Arabidopsis thaliana: one gene and its partner. The protein of the gene in region 1 purifies or fractionates together with the protein of each later gene. This does not show direct contact. Each region holds a gene or a part of one and is shown on either strand. Other genes may lie near its edges.

What was found.
Region 2: the proteins of PDX1L4 (region 1) and EMB1241 fractionate together in Arabidopsis thaliana (co-fractionation; one large-scale study listed by BioGRID). This does not show direct contact.

The regions. Positions count from the first base shown.
Region 1 is NC_003071.7:16,004,923-16,008,256, reverse strand, and holds PDX1L4 (putative PDX1-like protein 4), read right to left. Parts: upstream 1,509-3,334; 5' UTR 1,060-1,508; coding exon 820-1,059; 3' UTR 535-819; downstream 1-534. Other genes in the region: APD3 (RING/U-box superfamily protein), read right to left, coding at 1-145; APD4 (RING/U-box superfamily protein), read right to left, coding at 1,996-2,071, 2,188-2,437, 2,544-2,619, 2,712-2,864, 2,966-3,048, 3,125-3,202.
Region 2 is NC_003076.8:5,838,816-5,843,478, reverse strand, and holds EMB1241 (Co-chaperone GrpE family protein), read left to right. Parts: upstream 1-1,620; 5' UTR 1,621-1,839; coding exon 1,840-2,091; intron 2,092-2,653; coding exon 2,654-3,169; intron 3,170-3,706; coding exon 3,707-3,919; 3' UTR 3,920-4,140; downstream 4,141-4,663.

The DNA.
Region 1 (3,334 bases):
ACAATCCCATAATGATACCGAAGCAGGACAAGCTCAACAACCCCCATGAAGATTCGTCAGAATTGAAGATATCATCACAATCTTCATCGAGGGGAGGTGGTGGCATGACAAAGAGCGGCTGAAGGTCACCACGAATTGACCCCATTTCGGTGATTCTTAGAGAAAGAGATAACAAAAAAAAAATTATGAGGTAAGAAATGAATTGGATAGAAGAAACCCTAGAGATTTATAGGATAAGTAAAGATAAAATAAAACACCTGAGAATTTGTGAGGAAGTGAATCCATGAAAGATAAGATGATAGGGTAAGTTTATTAGTGTAACGGTTATCGTTCGATTTTGGTTCTCCGGCTAGTCTTCTTCTTTTCTCTCCGTCGTTTGAACGGTAATGACGACCAGAGTCTTGAGGGTATTTTTATAACTTTATTATATAAAATAATAACATTATTTTTCAGACTTTTGTTTGTGTCTGTGAGGATTTTGTTTTTTTATTATATTATTTGAAGAGATTCTTTCGTGAAATTCCAATTTTATCCTTCGGTTAACGTTAATTAAACTGTTAAGTTTAACAGTATAGTAAGTTAAAATTAATCAACTGTTAAGTTTTAGTGTTTAATTAGTATTCTAAAACAAAATATATTGATTGAACTTAGCAATTTCAATATACTTATGTGAAATTGTTTATTCATATGTGTTATCTTAACAATTATTGAATGTATTATTGCACAATTAATTACATAATGTTTATTTTAACAAAAAAAAAATACAGTGCCTAAAAACATTATGTAATGGTTTCTCCTAATTAAGTATGACCATGTCAACTAACAAAAACGTGCAACACCGCCTTGAGCTCGAATATCGGCGGGAACACGTTCAAGAGCCATCACGGCGCATGCGCCAGCTTCTTCAGCGATTCGAGCTTGCTCTGCGTTGACGACATCCATGATTACACCGCCACGAAGCATCTGAGCGAGACCAACTTTCACGGAGAAGGGAGATTTCTGTTTCGTCTCCGTCATGGCTCCTTCGCCGTACACCGCCACAACTCCGGTTCCTGCCATTTTTTCTAGGGTTTTGAGAGAGTGTGGAGCAGAGGAGAGGGGATTTTATAGGACGCGATTTGAAATTTGTTTGTGGACTGTGAGCTGTTGGATTGAGAAAAGATAGTAAAAGTACGTGAATCGGACGGGTTTAGAGGAAGGAGCACGAGGATTGTGGTGGACGTGAGTGTAGAGAAGAGAAGCTACGTATGGAAACTTTGACCACAAGATTTGTTTCTTTTTGTTGTAAATGTATAGTCCCGAAGAGATTATTATCTTGTTGACGTGGAAGCTCATTTCCCTATACCATCGTGTGATGTCGAAGAACCACTGATTCGGATATGTTATGTGTGTAAGGGTGTTGTTCTTTTTTTATGGTATAAAATATGTGGAGAATTTGGAAAAGAATATTAAATTTAATAAAATAAATTACAGTCCTTAATTATTTAATCAATAATTTATACTCTTTTCATTTCACAATATACGTTGTTTTAAATAAAAATATGCAAATTAAAAATATTTATTTTTAAAAAGTTTAGCTAATCATAAAAGAGATTACATAATATAAATAATCAAAAAATATTAAAATAATATATTATTTACATAGAAAGTTAAAAACAATTTATGTTGTGAAACAAAAAAATTGGTCCAAAACTACTTATATTACGAAACGGAGGAAATATACAAAATCCGAATTTATTCAGAAATTAACAATTAATTTATGAAATCCTTAATTATCGATTCGGGTTTCGAACCATTTTGTGATGTGAGTCAACAAACAATGGTTCACTATATTGCCTACCCTATGGTAGTTAACCAATGGTGTTGTCACAAAGATGGTTAAGAGATGAAACGAATTAATGCAAAGAAAGACCTGAGCCTTGTCAATATCAAATTATATGATTTTTATTAATGCTCTAACGATTCAACATCACATTGGACAGATAATAATACATCTTAAGCTGTATAGATTCGCTTCACATGCATTATTTTCTTTCGACATATTGGACACCTCCCCTTGGTTCTTTTTATCCTGCAAATATTGTCAAATCACAACGTTCAATATTTTAGATCAATCCCAATATGGTAAACACATTACCATTACAATTATGCAATCCAGAAGTTGTACTTAGTTGATAAAAAACTTACTTTGTTCCGCATTGGTAACAGGAGACGCAATGGCCACACGGGAGGAAACAACAATCTCTTGGAGCATCAAAACAAATGGCACAGAGACTTTTGTTACTTGCTTCGACATCATTACAACAATCATTGTCACCTTTGTCTGCAAGTAGACATGTTCTCACTGAATCATCTTCGGATAAAAATCCCTCTCCACCACAACACTTTAACTTGTTGCAGAAGTGTATAGCTACCAGCATGAAGGAAAGCAACACACCTGCATACGCAATAATACTACATGTAATTGCTTCCTTGTTACAGAGAAACTAACAAATGCTTAAATCCAATAATCAAGTTGACTTTGAAAAGATTGAAAAGTTTACCTGTGAAGCTTCCATATGCAATCAATCTAGGTTGATATGACAACTCGATATACCATTCATCATCGATGGATACTCCCTAAGGCAGTGAGACAAACATTCATTCAGCTAAGAGTCATAATAATAATAACAGTAACAATATTGTTAGTGTTTCGTATTACGAGTACATACCTGACCCAGTGCTGGTGAAGTTACGACAGCATAATTTTCAACAGGGGACCTTTCATTCATTTTGAATGAGCACTCGCCATTGCTGAAGGAACAATTGTAGGATGATTGTTTAGTATCATACAAGACAACCTTCACATCAATATCCAGTTCCACCTGAACAAACATTATGTCAAGTAAAACAGTGTACTGTGGACTGTGCAGAAACACAACAGAAACCAAAACTTAATCCAAAGTCATAACTTGATTATAATTACCTCTACGTCCTTCCTCTTCAAGTTAGCCACAGTAAGATAATAACCTTTAGACTTACTTATATCCAATTGAATCATACCACTCCCTGTAAAGAACTTTTATTAACTCATGATAAGCAATGTAATCAATGCATCTTAAGCAGGAACTTCCATTTGACTAACCCTGAATTAGATTCCATGACCAAGCGGTGTCACGAAATGCAATATCCTTCAGCGACGACCGATAGAAGAATGGCATTCCTATAAATTGAGAGCCTTAACATAGTCAGTTTATATCCCTAAAAGGCAACACTTTCAAACAAAAAAAACTCACTAACATTAACACTTCTACTTCCTCTATTTCCTCTTACTTCACTCAAAGTTATTTTCCTA
Region 2 (4,663 bases), on another chromosome or scaffold:
ATACAACCTGTTGTTTAGCTGTTTCTAATTAATATTGAAATATGTTTAGCTGTTGAAAACATATAGAGGTTACCTTTTATTTTTCTCTAACTTATTCATCTCATCTAGTTTATCCAACTCTTTTTTATTATTCAGCTTATCTTTATTCAACTTATCAGTACTCATTTTATTCAGCTAGTTCAATTTGTTAATCACCATTGGAAACTTTTTAGGTGTTTATTTTTAGAAAATACTCTTCATTAAATCTCAAAAGTTCATAAAGTTTTTGGTGTAAACTACTAATTGGAGATTCGATCTAATGTTTTATAAAGTATTTTATATGGTTTAATAAGATTTTAGAAGGTATTTAAAAATGTTTTACAAGGTATTGTTTTACAAGGTATTTATAAGTTATTTTTATACTGTATTTATAAAATATTTATAAGTTTTTACACACATATAAAAGTAGTTTGTATACTTTAATAAAGTTACACACATATTTGAATAAACCTCATATTCTTAGGAGTACTTTTAATAAACAATTAGAAATATAATATTTTTGAAAAGTGGTATTCGAAAAGATGCTTTTGAAATTCTTCCTTTATTTAGCTTCCAATTCTAAACATTTGAACTAAACTATTTGATATTCAATTTTAAAAGCTTATATGGATTGTCACCTCCAAACATATGCTAGATATTTACTTGAGAATTTTTGATAAACATCTACTTACAAAATTTTAACTAAAATAATATATTGAGAAATTGGAAAATGAAAAAGTAAAATGGTCGAAGAAGAATATCTTTTATGATATGTTAGCCTCAACAACGGGTGATATTTAATAATTAGTTTAAAACTTTAGTCACTTTGTAGTTAATACTTCTGATTTAGGATTAAGGTCCGTTGCACCCACTACTTCTGACAAAACTAAGTGTGCGGACTTAGAAAATAGATTAAACATGGATGGTCTCCTATCTCTTTGTTGTCAACCCAAACCGGCAAACCCTGATATTCTCTTATTACTTTTCATCTATAACATATTGAGTACTAGTACTTGACCAAAACAAACATTTAACTATATAGTACATCTCTTTGGGCTTAAGGAAACCCTTTTGTAAATAAAGCCTAAGCCCAAATTGTAGAACTAGTTATAGTCAATAACACAAAATTGCTTCTAAAAATTTCCCAAATCTCAAGTCTTATTATGTTATTTTCAACAACGATATGCATGAGATCATGATACAATTTGAATCTGCAATAACAAAACTGATACAAATTGGTAAAAACATATTTTATTGTCGAAAATGTTTGAAACATTCAGATCCAAAAGAAAGGCAAGGCGAAATTGATACAACTACAAATCATTCAAATATTCTTATGTCAGAACAACAGTTCCTGGATAAATTTGCTCCCACTTGAAGAAAAGTGTAGTCATCGCTAGAGAAGATGAAGAGATTCGTGATGAAGTGGACTTGGAAAAAGAGTTGAACCATAAGAGTGGAAGACAACTTACAAAGAGTTTGGAGACATCATACCAGGAATCAGTTAGATCATTGGCATAGAACATCGAACAGCCTTCTCGAGTATTAATTTACAGAGATTTTATTGTATTATATAAAATATTCACAAAACTGTAGAAGTTTCAAGAAAATCTAAATCCGACGGTTGAAAAACTCCCTACGTAATCTCTGTTGAACAACAACGGTCCGATCAACATAGTAAAAACGAAAAGTAAATCCAACGGTTAAAAAAACGAAACAAAACAAAAGATCCGACGAGGAAGAGTAGAACCGTTTGCCCTCTCTCTCTCTATCTTCCTTATCTCTCTCCGCCACTCTCCTTCTCTTTCTCCGAACTCTTCGATGGCCGGTCTACTCAAAACGCCGTCTTTACATCTCACACCAACTCTTCTTCATGCTCCTTCTGTACCCTTTAAGCCCTTTTGCGTATCTTTCGCCGGAGGAAGAAACGTTAGCGTCTCACTCTCTCGCCGAGCTTCTCTCCGGTCTGTCTCTAGCGGCTATCCTCTCCGCTTACTAAACCTCGTACCCTTTGCTTCGGGAGAAGCTGAGACGACGGAGACGGAGGTGGAATCGAACGAACCCGAAGTTCAGGTTTTTCGATTTCGGCTCACTTCTGTTCAACTTTCTTGGGGGTTATTTCATTGTTAGTTCGGTGATTAGGGTTTCGAATTTGGGATATGGTAATTTAGAATTGCTTGTTGTTTGCTTAAATTTTTAAGCTTTATTGATTATATTACCCTCTGAAGGAACGTTCACATGAATTAGAGCAATGAATAGGATTGTATTCAGTCTATTCAGGAGTCAAATGGTGAATGCTAATGTTTCTTAGGATATACCAAATCCGATGAATGACAGATTTCATATTCTTGTGGTATGGTGTGTTCCCAAAATGAAGGAGTTTCACTAGTAGTTTAAGACCATGGTGTGTATGTACTATCCAAATCGAATTTTGATTTCGTGATTCTTGTATGGGGGCCACAGAATGTTCTGAAGCTTTTTTGGTGTTAATCTGATTGTTTAGGAGGTCATTAAAAAATTGTGTCGTTAGTGTGTGTTCTGTCTCAGCTTTTATCAGGAATAGATAGGAAACGTCTATGTAAACTGGATTGCTCTTTTTCTGATTTTTTGTTTCACTTCTGAAATCATGGAGCAGGAGACGGATGGTGCTGTTGATGTCGAGAATGAAAATGCCAGTGCTGAGGAGGGTGAAGCTGAGGAAGAAGAAGCAGCTGTTATCACAGCGTTGCTGAAATCCTATAAAGAAGCTTTAGCAGACAACAACGAGGGGAAGATTGCTGAGATAGAAGCATCTTTAAAGTCCATAGAAGATGAAAAATTTCTGCTTGCGGATAAAGTAGCGTCTTTATCCAATGAGTTATCGGTGGAGAGGGATCGGCTTATAAGAATCAGTGCAGATTTCGACAACTTCAGGAAGAGGACTGAGAGGGAAAGGCTAAACCTTGTTTCAAATGCTCAAGGAGAGGTTGTAGAGAATCTTTTGGCTGTTTTGGATAATTTCGAGAGAGCTAAATCCCAAATTAAGGTGGAGACTGAGGGAGAAGAGAAAGTCACTAATAGCTATCAGAGCATATACAAACAGTTTGTAGAAATTCTGGGATCACTTGGTGTTATCCATGTGGAGACAGTCGGCAAGCAGTTTGATCCAATGGTTAGTTACTATGATATCTTTTCTTCTTTCCGGAGATCGACAACTGTATTTTTGTTGCTCAGCTTGCTGGTGGTTTTAATTTTTAACTATGGACGTGATCTTTAAAATCAAAGTTGTTTTGGAAGTTAGGATAATTCGTTGCTATAGGGCTGCCGGAATAATCTTGAGCAGAACGTAGATATGGTTGTTACTTTGAAAGTTAGCTACATCAGATGGATGGAACAAATTATGCTGAATGATACTTTTGTGATGCAAATGATCAATAAATCTTTGAGGTTTAGGATCACTTATCTCAGTTAGATGCCTTTTGGTTATCGCAAAGCTTGAAATACATAACCACTTATGCGTCTAGTCCTAAGCATGAATCTGCTAAAGTTTTGGAGACTTTAGATGTAAGATGTGGTTGTTACTTTTGCAAGTTGGGTTTAAATGACAATGAGTTGGTAGATATCCTTTTGTTTGTTGGTCTTTTCAAGTCCCTAACAGCTGACATCTCTTTTTTATCCTTTTGCTTTTCTCGTTGTTGTGTGAAAAAAGCTACATGAGGCAATAATGAGAGAAGACTCTGCGGAATACGAAGAGGGTATAGTACTAGAAGAATACAGGAAAGGTTTCTTGCTAGGTGAAAGGCTTTTACGTCCTTCAATGGTGAAAGTATCAGCTGGACCTGGACCAGAAAAGCCCCTTGAAGCTGAAGGAGAAGAAGCCACAGCACAAGGAAGCGCAGAAGAAGAATCATCTTCATCTTGAAATTGAAGATGATCAAGACTCAGCAGTTTTGTGTGCGTGTGTGTGAGAGAGATACAGAGATAAAAGAGGGAGAGGTCTGTTTTACCATTATTGTTGTTATTGTTATTGATACGTTATATCATTTCTACAGAGTCTAGAAGTAATATAGATCGACATTTTTAATGAATTCTTAAGTATTCAATCCGAAAGGGAATGCCATAATTGATTTTTTTTCATCTCTCTATACACAGCTAGAAAATTCGGAAGATTCAGAGAAAATGTTGATAATTGGAAGTTTGGAACAAACAGAAAGTCAATACAGTAAATTGTATTTGAGTACTATGGCCTACGAGTCCAAATTATTGTCCAAGTTTTCTTCTTTTGGTTAGGGTTCTTTGGGTACTTAAATATCTTAAAGAGGAGTTGTCCATTTTGTGTAAAGAAATGTTAGGGCCATGTATGTTGGGTATCTTGGATTGGATTTTTTTTTCTTCTTTCTTTTGTTATTTTTTGGATATTTCTAGTAACGTTGGGATCCATGCATAATGCATTAAACCGGGTAATAGAATAAATAGTGTCATACAGTGAAAGTGTGAAACAATCAATAGTAAATTTTATCCTCAATGATGATAATATATCACATAATTTTTGGATCGGATACGAGGTGTAATCGGCCGGTCCATCTTTAGTCTCCTAGGACAATGCATGTCTTGTGTGAACGTACAAGTACAAATGTTGATTTGCGGTTCTGTTCCGGTTTTTGGT